Drosophila melanogaster: one gene and its partner. The protein of the gene in region 1 purifies or fractionates together with the protein of each later gene. This does not show direct contact. Each region holds a gene or a part of one and is shown in the gene's direction. Other genes may lie near its edges.

What was found. Proteins that work in one complex are often made in the same cells at the same time.
Region 2: the proteins of SkpC (region 1) and morgue purify together in Drosophila melanogaster (affinity purification with mass spectrometry, with the first as the bait; one large-scale study listed by BioGRID). This does not show direct contact.

What each region holds. Positions count from the first base shown.
Region 1 is NC_004354.4:19,812,734-19,818,827, forward strand, and holds SkpC (SKP1-related C), read left to right. Parts: upstream 1-3,338; 5' UTR 3,339-3,404; coding exon 3,405-3,881; 3' UTR 3,882-3,967; downstream 3,968-6,094. Other genes in the region: SkpD (SKP1-related D), read left to right, coding at 68-544.
Region 2 is NT_033779.5:4,440,673-4,446,631, reverse strand, and holds morgue (modifier of rpr and grim, ubiquitously expressed), read left to right. Parts: upstream 1-1,951; 5' UTR 1,952-2,024; coding exon 2,025-2,168; intron 2,169-2,230; coding exon 2,231-3,562; 3' UTR 3,563-3,762; downstream 3,763-5,959. Other genes in the region: Elp3 (elongator complex protein 3), read right to left, coding at 1-520, 574-1,439, 1,496-1,737, 1,800-1,821; CG15432 (uncharacterized protein), read right to left, coding at 3,778-4,134; Sfp24F (seminal fluid protein 24F), read left to right, coding at 4,581-4,656, 4,711-5,162.

The sequences.
Region 1 (6,094 bases):
CTCGTACTTCTCTCTGAATCACTCGTTTGTAGTAGTTTGGCAAATAGAAAGGCAAGGCAAACCGAAAATGGATGCTCCCACCATCAAGCTTGAGTCCTCGGATGGGGTGATCTTTTCAACGGAAGTCAAAGCCGCCAAGCTCTCCGAAACCATCAAGACCATGTTGGAGGTCTCTGCCGTGGAGAACGACGAGAATGCCGTTGTGCCGCTGCCCAAGGTGAACGCGTTCATCCTAAACAAGATTCTGACCTGGGCCTATCACCACAAGGACGATGATGACCAGGCAGCGGAGGGCGAGGAGTTGACCCCGCAAAGCCCACATGACATCTCACCCTGGGACGCCAACTTTATTAACGTCGATCAACCCATCTTGTTCGAAATTACAGTGGCCGCCAACTATCTGGAGATTAAGGGCCTAGAGGATCTCTGTTGCAAGACGTTGGCCAATATGATTAGGGGAAAGACTCCCGAGGAGATCCGCCAGACGTTCAACATCGAAGACGATTTACCGATCGATACGGCCGAGTTGGGCGAAGACCTGTGAGGCACAGAGAAGAAGAGGAAACTTCACCGGAACCTTACTTTGTTGAGAACTTTTTTGTTTCGCCTAGATAAATATACTAATATTATATAATATATATATATATATATACCAGTGTTGGAACAAGTACATTTTGTGTTACCTTAGAAAGGTGGCATGTTATGGACTATGATAAATAAATAAGGTTAGATTACAATCCCAGTGGCTATTCGGACCGATAATTGGTATCAAAGATAATTACCTTTAATCAATTTAGAATGAGAGTTGATCTGTACTGTGCTGTAGTCTTCCACGTTTTAGACTCTAAAAGGTAATAATTTTAATATATACAAAACGATGTATTTAAAATCAATTAAATAATGAAAGTGTGGATATATGTATAGTATAAACTATTTTTATGAAATATGCATATAAGATCATTTGGATGTTTGGTTCAGACTGGTTACGTGTAACGAAAAGAATTGATGGAAGGCAAGGGAACCTGTACTGGCGGATGCACGCTTCAGAATCCGGCTCTAGCTCTTTGGCGTTGTGGGGTGGTGGTCTATGCTTGCGACAAAAGAATATAGGAGTTAGTATACAAAATCGGAGGAAGCAAATTAATATATTCGAACGAAGATAGTTCAAGAAGAGAATGAAAGCATGAAACAATAGGTGTACCTATGACCTAGCTTTCCTTGAGAGCAATGGCTCTAGTGGCCCCTTATGTGCCCTATGTCCGGAGAAACATCAGCCGAGTTCAGTATTTTAATTTTTACATATTCATTTCTATCATTTGCTGACTAATGATTAATAACAATATTTATAGGAACCAATAATAAGTACATAACAAATTGAAATAAATTTAATTTGCTCAGAGTAAGGTGATAGATAATGACTTATGTAAGTTAAGAAAAAAAACTATAATTAAATAGACGTTAAGATGACTAAATATAATCTAAAAAAAAAAGAATAAATTATTTATTTAAGTTTTTCCATATTTCAGTTTTTTTTTTCAGTGTTGTTGTTCTTCACGATATTCTTGTTTTATAAATTATTACTTTTTTTTCAAATCAGTTTCTTTAATCAGTAAAAATTAAATGTAAGTGAGTGGGTTGCGGGTAAGGTCGGTTAGATTTTAATTAATATTTAATAGCTTATAGTCTAGCAATATAATTAGGGTTCAAGCAATTGTTCTCAGTGTATTCATTTGTCGCGTTAATCTGTATAGAATTTGTTCAACTTTGGGAAAAACAAGAGAGAATGCTATAGTCGAGTTCCCCGACTATCAGATACCCGTTACTCAGAAAAATCGATAGATATAAAAAAAAATTATAAAAATTTTAAAAAATTATTCCAAAGTGTGGGCGTGACCGGTTGGGCGGTTTTAGGGCGTTCGAGTGGGTGTGGCAAAATTTTTGTTTTTATCAATAGAAATTTACGAGACTAATAAAAATTTGAAATAATATCAACACGTTTTTCGAAAGTGTGGGCGTGGCAGTTTTGTGCGGTTTGTGGGCGTGGCAAATTAAATAAAAATTAAAAATACAAAAGTAATATAAAATAAGTCTCCTCCTTGGGTTCACATTTAAAGGAATTATTGCGAATAATTCAAATATTTGCGGATATAATTATTCAGAAAATTTCTCTCAGTGTACATTCGCAGTTTGATATCTTTCACGCAAGTATAGGTTTAGGTCCGATAGAATTTATCAATATGTTTACTTCAGCAGAAACTTCTCCCTCTGTATTCATGTCTTCTAACCCTAAAATTATTCTTGTCCACATGCTCACTTTTTTTAATTAATATATCTTTTAAGCATTTAAATTAAATACAAATCTTAGGGTTTTGGTTTATGTGCGGCTGCTGTCAATCGATGGGAAGGGGTGATCCCCGGGACGGCTCGAAAAGGGTGCTCCACAAGACGGCATGACTCGAGTTCATTTTTTTGCTGACCGCCTAATAGGTTAGAGCCTTTGCGTCAACTGGCACACAAAAAAAAAAACTTAAATCGCGTTCCGTTTGGCGGCTAGGAAAACTCACTCGAATAATGGTATTTTCGCACTTTGTTTTTGCTATCCAAAACGGACACTTTTTTGGCCGAATTGCATCCTCATCCTCGTATTAAGTACGTAATTAAGTACTAAAGCTAGCAAATCGAAATTCTTCTTTGTATCTTGGATTTAATATTAATATATTATTTTGGAACTCGGTTCAAAATACAGTTTTACGGTAACTGAAAATTTTGATTCTGTTAAGTGTATATATTTTATGGAAAGCAAGTTACACATAATTGGAGTGTTTCATAAAACAATAATAATACAGTAAAAGGGAATGTTAGAATCGCTAATGAGTATGTAACAGGTAGAAAGTGCCTTCTGTCCGTCTGTTTTTCAAATGAAAAAATATATATTTAATTTAAAGTTTTTTTGAAAAATTAGAGCAAGTAATGTAAGCCCACGTGCTATTTTCCAGTTCCCTCTGTTAAAAATATTTTTTACGGGGTTCTTTCCGGAACTATTATTTTGAAATTTTTTGATTGAGCACTTACCCAACATTCATATAGGTTTTAAAATTCATATTACACTTTTTTTTATTACACTTTTAAGGTCTGATATGATAAATAAAACACGATTCGCGATTCTCAATAAAAAAGCTAAAGCGAATCTACAGTTCTTAATGTTAAGACTTCCAATTTCTAGTGTGTACACACTTGACGACAGTGATTCCGCAGTGATCACATCTGGTCACTCTGTTCTCTATTCTTTTTTCTTTGAACTTTCGAATCGTCCAGTTGGCACGTGCTCTATCAATCATCCCATCTTGTTCTTCTGAATCTCTTTGAACGTAGTTTGGCAAATAGAAAGGCAAGGCAAACCGAAAATGGATGCTCCCACCATCAAGCTTGAGTCCTCGGATGGGATGATCTTTTCAACGGAAGTCCGAGCCGCCAAGCTCTCCGAAACCATCAAGACCATGTTGGAGGTCTCTGCCGTGGAGAACGACGAGAATGCCATTGTGCCGCTGCCCAAGGTGAACGCGTTCATCCTATCCAAGATTCTGACCTGGATCTATCACCACAAGGACGATGATGCCCATGGAGCGGAGGGCGTGGAGTTGAGCCCGCAAAGCCCACATGACATCTCAGCCTGGGACGCCAACTTTATTAACGTCGATCAACCCACCTTGTTCGAAATCATACTGGCCGCCAACTATCTGGAGATCAAGGGCCTAGTGGATCTCTGTTGCAAGACGGTGGCCAATATGATTAGGGGAAAGACTCCCGAGGAGATCCGCCACACGTTCAACATCCCGGACGAAATACCGAGCAGGACGGCCCAGTTGGGCGAAGACCTGTGAGGCACAGTCTCTTTCGGAGCAAATCCGGTTGGGACACCTGGAACCTTCCTTTGTTGAGAACTTATTTGTTTCACCAGAATAAATATGATATTACGAGTATTTTTGAAAGCATATCTATTGTATTTTATCAACATATTCAGTTTACAGTTTACTTTGGCAACAAGAACACATAAAACATAACTTTTTAAATCGTTTCATGTTCGCTTGGGCTAAAGGAGTGCTCTGGCTCTATTCCCAGTTGATTGCCACCAAGCCGCCCGGGGATACAAGCACACACCACACACCACACCACACACCGACCCACTCCACTCCATAGCACCCCAATCCCGGAATCCTGGTGCTCCTTAAGCCGGTTCCTGATTTGGCAGCCACGCTAATTTCCAAAAGCCTTGGCCGTTGGCGCTTATGAGCTCTGCATCCATGAAGTTCGCATTACGTATGTAAAATAGTGCAGAAAACCCCCAAATGAACCCAAGCCCAGGGTCCCAATCCTCGTATTCCAAACCCTTGGACACAACTTACGCACTTTACATACCGTTGCGGGGTGGGGAGGCGGGTGGTGGGTGGCAGGAGGCTGGGCAATGTCCTTTATTGTAAGTTAAGTTGCTGCCCACACATCTGTGTGTGAATGTGGGAGGGGGCGGCCTACGGCTTGCCACTCGCCTTTCTTCGTCCGTTTCATGTGTGCTTGAAATTTAAAATGCTCTGTGGAAATTGGTTTAGTCATGTATGTATGTATGTATGTATGTATGTGCCCAGTGTGCGTTTGTTTGTGTGTGTGCTTAGGGGGTGAAAGCATACACATACAAGAATGTCAGGTGGGCGTATGTGTGTGCGTGTATATGTGGCCATTGGTTTTCCTGCATAAACATAACAAAAATATAGCCAAATGTGCCACACTCGACTTAAGATTCTCAATTGTAAAGTACGCAATGTATGTACATATGTATACATATATTTATGGAAATATAAAAATATTAATATCAAAATTTATTTACCTTGTGCTCTGTAATTTGTTGAAAATTGAATAAATTTCAGAATGGTATGCTATATAGCTGCTCAATAAGAATAATAATGCAGTGGATATAATTATATGTTTGTTCTAAACGATATAAATATGTACGTTGTATCATTATTATGAATATTATCATCATTATCAACTTTACAAGAAATGCACGTATATTACACTTCAGTGAGAAGACACTATCCAAAATGTGTGCCAAGTGCTGTCAGTTTTGCCCCACTGTGCACCACGCCGCACAATTGCCTCGGGCGATTGTTGTTGCTAACTGTGTCGGTGATAGCGGAGCGAGCGGATAGTTTGCTTGGCCATAAGTTGTGAGGCATCCTTTGTAGTTTGCAACCGCATACCCATTTCATCAGGCATGCTTGTACATACATACATACATACATATGTATGTACATACATAATGGGCAAGTCGGCGACACACTTCGAAAGGATTAAATTCTGTTTTAGTAATTAAGTTGAAATTTATAATCAAGCCGAGGGTGGACCAGTTATGTACAGGCCCATCGACATATCCCAGTTTGGCCAACTTCTGGTCATGCGTATGCGTGCTTCTGAGCCACTTTGTCTTGGCCAAAGTAGTTTTCAAGTTGTGCTGCTGCGGCTGCGGCTGCTGCTGCTGCTGCTGCTGCTGCGACTACAGACAAACAAATGGAAAGTGGAAAATGGAAAATAGAGTATGAGGTATGCCCACCATGCCAGCCACGACTCTGGAGTGAAAGTTTTCGCCAGCTCTTTTTTCTGGTAACTTTGGCATTCGCACGCCTCAGCGCATTCGCAATCCGAGTTCAAATCCATAGCATACTTTTGCGGGCGGCATGTTTAATTTATGGCCGTAAAGCGCATGCATGTGTGTGCGTGTGCGTGTGCGTGTGTACATGCGGATGTGTGTGTGTGTGTAGTTTTCTTTACGCTCTTTTAAGGTGGACCCAGTGACTTAGTTCCCACAGCGAGACAGTATATTTTATATTTGGGTTGAAGTCCTGCCCAGAAATGCAAAATCACGGCAAAATTCTTGTTTTTATTTATTTATTTTTATTCTTTAGCCTGGCAGTGACAAGCGGAGGCGACACTGATGCACTGCAAAAAAAAACAACAACCAGTGCTTGGACATCAAATAAAGGAGAAACTTTAAGCACGTCATGAATTTAGCTCATAGGTACTAGCATTGTTTTAATTGATTTCC
Region 2 (5,959 bases), on another chromosome or scaffold:
TTCTTCTATGCTCTTTGACATGTAGGGTCCGTCAAGTTGGTATCCCATTTTGCGATAGTAGTTTCTGGTGCCCACTCCCGATATGACCGCCAGTTTTGTGCTGCCGTGCTCCTCTCGAGCAATTCGCTCCGCCTCCTCCATCAGCAACATACCGAAGCCCTGGTGCTGAAACTTGGTGGGATCCCTAGCATTAACCGGCACGACTGAGCCATATACGTGCAGCTCCCTCACAATGGAGCATTCGCCCTTCAGTTCCGGGCGGAAGGTATCCGGTGAGCACTTTCGCAGCCTAAGAAGGCCTACGAGAATGTCCTGTTCAGGATCTTCGTATGAGAGGAACGTTTCCCAGCCGCCATTGGCCACATAGTCCCGACGAATTAGCTCAATTTCGTAAGGGCGCACCTTGTTGTGGATTTCCTGAATGCCAACTTCGCGGGTTCTAACATCGCGGCAAGTGGTTCCAAGATCCTTCATGCGGGCCAGCGCCAGTTCACGGAGATTTCCGTGTTCCACGCCGGAACTAAAATGAAGAAAAATGTCAGGTTTATTTAATATATATATCGGACAAGTTACCTAACAAGCGGCATGGGAATGTCGCGCTGTACGCGGTACACTCGCGTCCATGGTGGTACAAGGGCCAAAATCTTCGCCACTAAGTCCACAAGCATGGATGGCGGATATGACTTATATCGCCCGGTTTTCCATAACTCGTAGAGACCAGTGCCGCGAATGACGAGCGTGGGATAGATCTTTAGGCCGTCAGAGCGGAAGGCAGGGTTCTCAAAGTACTCGATAAACTGCTCGATGTCGCGTTCAAAGTCAACATTGGGAAGATCAGGCATCATGTGCGTCACGATCTTATAGCCAGCATCCTTGCCCAGCTGGAAGCTCTCGCACACCGCTCGCACCGTGTGTCCGCGGTTCGTATCCCTGGCCACGTCTTCGTAAACCGATTGCACACCGATTTCCAGCCGGGTGCAACCATAGCTAAGCATATCCGATATGTGCCGCTTTAGGCAGTAATCTGGCCTTGTTTCTATGGTGATGCCAATGCACTTTGTGCGTGACTTCTCCGAGTAGCGTACGGCTTCCGCCACATTGGCGCTGCTGTGGCCGGAGAGGGCGTCGTGTAGGTTGCGGATAAAGTAGTCGCGGTACTCCTCCGGCAGGCACATGAACGTACCGCCCATTACGATGAACTCCACCTTGTCCACACTGTGTCCCAGCTGCTTCAGCTGTTCAACGCGGTGTCGGGTCTGAAGAAAAGGATCGTACCGCGACCGGATGGCTCGCATCGAGGTCGGCTCGTAGCCTGTGTACGACTGTGTCGAGTACTCAAAGTCGCTGTCCGGTCCGCCGGGACAATAGACGCATATATTGCCGGTCATATTGATGTGCGGACAACGATGCGGCTTGCACATGACGGCGACCACGGCGATCTGGATTGAAATAATTGAAATGAATAGTACGCCTTGTGTAAGCAAGTGCGACTTACGCCACTTGCTGTGCGAATGGGCTTTGCCCTCAGCTTTGGAAGCAGAATTTTTTTGGCGTCCTGCGGCACGGCAGCAATTATGTCGACCAGGCGCGGCGAACTGTCCAGTCCATATTTGGAGGCCACCAATGATTTCATCCGATTAAGGTTTACATCCTTTTTGGCTTCGTGCGCCTTCAGCAGCTCCTGAATGATCTCCCCGATGACGAGCACCTGTCGTTCCTGGCGGCTCAATCCCACGCCTGAAATAATTGGCGGGGTAAACGGACGTTTAAAGAATTACTTTCGTAGCGACGTTACCTACCCAACTTCTTTTTTGCCTTCATTTTGCTGATGAATATCACATAAACTGCACGTGTGAAGTTAGCAGCACTTGTTTTGATTCGGTTATCGACCGACCAATAGTCCGATAACCACAACACTGTTTGACAGGTTTTGAAGCTAACACCACTTGGTAACACTTTTAGATGGTCTATCGTTTGTCGATTATTTATTTGTTTTAGCACCAGTTTCTCGGGAGTTCTGTAAAATGACTAGCTGCGTGCCAGCGCATCAGCAAAAGGACCAGGAGCAGTTGCTAAAGGAACTGGCCAGCAGTGGCGACGAGATGGACGACCCGGACGATCCGGACCAGGAACACCACCAGCTGGTAGAGCCGACCTTCTCTTTTTCGGTATGTATACAATAGGCTAGTTTCTTGCGGGCCGATTAATAAATAGCCTTTCCAATTTGCAGAATAGTAACACCTGCTGGGTGTGCAACGGCTACTATGGGCCCAACTTCGGGGAGCCGTTGTGCGGCGCCTGCCACGCCTTCCTGTACAACGCACAGCGGGCGGAGGAGCTGCTCACGGAGCTTTCCGATGACGAGGATTCTGGGAACGACGAGCCGCCGTTCAAGGACAAGCAGGAAGACGAGGAGACCGAAAACGACGTAGACATCATGGGCTTTGAGGATCTGGAGGACCCCCAACCGGCAGCCGTGCCACAACATCCAAATCCGCAGCCACCAATGGAGCCACAGGATCAACAGCCAGCCCAACCAGTTATAGATCTGCCACAGCCGGTGCCGGAGGCTGCGGCACCACGACGCGAGTCTCCGGAGCGCGACTTTGAGCACGAGAGAGCCATTAATCCCTTCCTGCTGCCCATTAAGCGTCCGCGGGCCACGGCTCCCTTGGCTCTGCCCCATTACATGCATGAGCTGGCCGATGGAAGGGCGCGAGTGCATGAATACAACGCCGCCAGCGGAAGCGGAGCAAGTGGCAGCAGCAGAAACATTGTCAACATAATACCCGTCGAGGTGATGCTGAAAATATTTGCCTATTTGGACGACATGTCGCTGTGGATGGCTAGTGAAGTTTGCAAGCAATGGCACGACATTGTCGGGAAAAACACGGCCCAGAGCATGTGGAAGGCGTATATCAAGCAGCGCTGGCCGCTGTTCGACAGTTTGGCAGACAATCCAAACTGGTATCGGCTGTACGGGGCACTGATGTCTTCCTGCTTCTGTCGCACTTGCCTGATTGAGATGGGCGGTCGGGGTCAGGATGCACAGGAGGCAGATCCACAGCTGGGCGATCGGGAGCCGGGCAATGTAATGCGCAACAACTTTCTGCGCGGTGAAGCCAATCTGCTGAACAGCTACGAATCTGAGGGCATATCGGCCATACCGTTGGATCGGCAAAACAACTACTGGCAGGCGACAATTCTGGGGCCACCGGGCAGTCCCTACGAAGGCGGCAAGTTCTTCCTGTTCATATACTTCCCGGAGCGATATCCGATGACGCCGCCCACAGTACGTTTCCTCACCAAAATCCTGCATCCGAATGTTTCGCGGCATGGGGACGTGGGCATCGACATCTTCCAGCAGCACAACTGGTCTCTGGCGCTGAACGTGGCCAAGGTGCTGCTTTCTGTGCAGAGCCTGCTGACCGATCCGTATACCGAAGTCTGCATGGAGCCTGAACTTGGATACATCTATGAGCACGAGCGCGAAAGGTTCGAGCAACTGGTGCGCGCGTGGACATGGAAGTACGCCATGTACGAGCTAATTGCACCGCGCTAGAAGATCAAAAGCCCTCCAAGGACAATGGACTGAAAGTTGGAAACTACCCCTCTTTACGTTGTAACTACATATGCCTGTGTATTTAGCTTAGTTGTGCCATCTGGATTGTTTATTTTGGCCTCCCCTCTCACTTTTCCTGCGCTCCAGGTTGAAACGTAGTCGAAATTACTTAACCTTATAATAAATGTATGCTTTAAGTTACGAGCGGCGTCGCCTCACTTCGTCCAGGACACCTTGGGGATGTCAAAGTGCTCGGTGAGCGTGTCCAGGTGCTCGTTGAATTTCTCCACGCGCTCCTTGTGGGTGGTTTGTGCCTTGTCCATGATTCGCTTGTTGCGCATCTTTTCCTGCTGCTTCTTACTGGCCAGCTCGGCCTTGGTGAGCTTCCGCTCGTAGCCACTGGTGGCGGAGGAGGATGTGGCCCCCGATTCCGCTATTTGCTGCTCCACGAACGCCTTCTGCAGCTCCTTCTCCTTGTCCTTGCCCTTGTGCTTCTTCTTTTTCTTCTTGAGATCCGAATCGTTCTTTAGTTTAAGCTTGCCCTTGGCCACGCAGGCGTACTCGTCGGACATGTCTTTAATGGGTTTTCAATCTGGAAATGGATTGGTAATGAATCCGATCTGTTTACGTTTTTCTTGTTTTTGTTTACACCAACTGCACGTTGTTATCTTTACATAATTTCTGATATTCGATGTTATTACCTGACCAGAAATATATCGATGGCATTTTATCGAATACATTTGAAATGTTACAAAATACGTTATTTTTGTTTGTTTTTTGTGGTAAGTTTCCTTAATCTAACAAGAAATAACTTAAAAACCTCTAATATAAATAAAAACAGTCCTGTAAGACTAAAAATAGTTGTTCAAGACATTACATACATTCAACTGTTAGAATACAAAATGTAAAACTTAAACGGTATTACCCATGGTAATTGAGATGATAAGCGAATAAAATCTTAAATTAACGAAATTAGCGAGCCTTGACGGCTAACTCCGGATTTTTTATCATTACCACAATGATTGTTAAACTGACTGGATCTACTACCTTTTTGGTAGCACTATTCCTGTTTGAGGTTTCTAGAAATGTTGCCGGTGAGTTTTGTTTTTATATATTATAAAGTAATTGACTTTTGATTATTTAATTAGGAGCTCTTGAGGCGCTTCAGACAACTAATGACACATTTGTTAGGATCGGGAACAGTTACTATCTCATTGAACGAAAACTTCAAAAAAATTGGTTTGGTGCCTACGAAATTTGTCGACAACAACAAGCGGAATTAATCTCTCTTGAAACTTTCGACGAATTGCGCCTGGTAAGCGAATACCTTTTAGCTAATAACATTTTCGAGAGATATTGGACCTCCGGAACGGATTTGGGAACCAAGGGAAAACATGTTTGGTTTTCCAATGGACAGCCCTTGTCAACGGATTTGTGGTACGGGGGAGAACCAAATAACAAAAATAATGAGGAGCATTGCGATGAACTGGGAAGTGATTTTAGACCGACAAAATCGCCAGGAATGAACGATCGGAATTGCAACTTTGAAAGTTCTTTTATTTGCGAAGAAGTTCAGCCGAAATATAATGTATGTCCGTAAAGATAAAACATTGTCAACTTGAAAAGTAAATTTTGAATAAGTTGAGTTATTATCTCTTTATTTTTCAATATTAGGTGTACGGTTTTTGGTGCTCTTATTTAAATGCCACGCAGTGTGGGCTTTCTCTCTTAATCCGCTACACTCTCTCTTTCGTCTCTCTTGCGCCACCCACGCCGAGGAAAAGCTCGGTGGAAATTTTGGCCGTGCTCTCGAACGAACTTGTTAGCATTTCGCTGGCATTCAGATTCAGTTCTAATCCAACGGGTGACGGAACGACATACCGTGTGTGCTGTGTTCGCTGGAGGCGCGACTGTAAATATTTAAAAATTGAAAAACATATTCATAATCGGCCCAGGCCAAAACACTGCGAGAAATTCCTGCAGCGAAGTGATTTCGAATGAGTGGTTTCAAAGTGAACGGTGTGAGCCAAAGTCGTGTTTTGTGTCCATACACACAAAAGAAAATTTATTAAATAAAATCATAACAAATGCATTTGATATATAAAAGTTAAAAAGTTAAATAAAAAATAAAGTTGAAAGTGCGAAGGTGAAAATTCTGCTCGCTCTTTCTCTCTCTTTTTGCTGGCGGAAACTAACGGTTTAGGCCAAAAGTGCCGTAAAAGCTCTCTCCTGTCGCACATGCGTGTGCTTGTGAGCGTGTGGGTGCCTGCTTGAGCGTGCGAGAGTGTGTGTGTGTGTGCCCGTGTTAGCATCCTGTAGCAAGTTCTTCACTCAAGGATAACAGTCGTAAAAGCACAACAATGTAATGAACAATATCAGAAAATATCATCATCATCG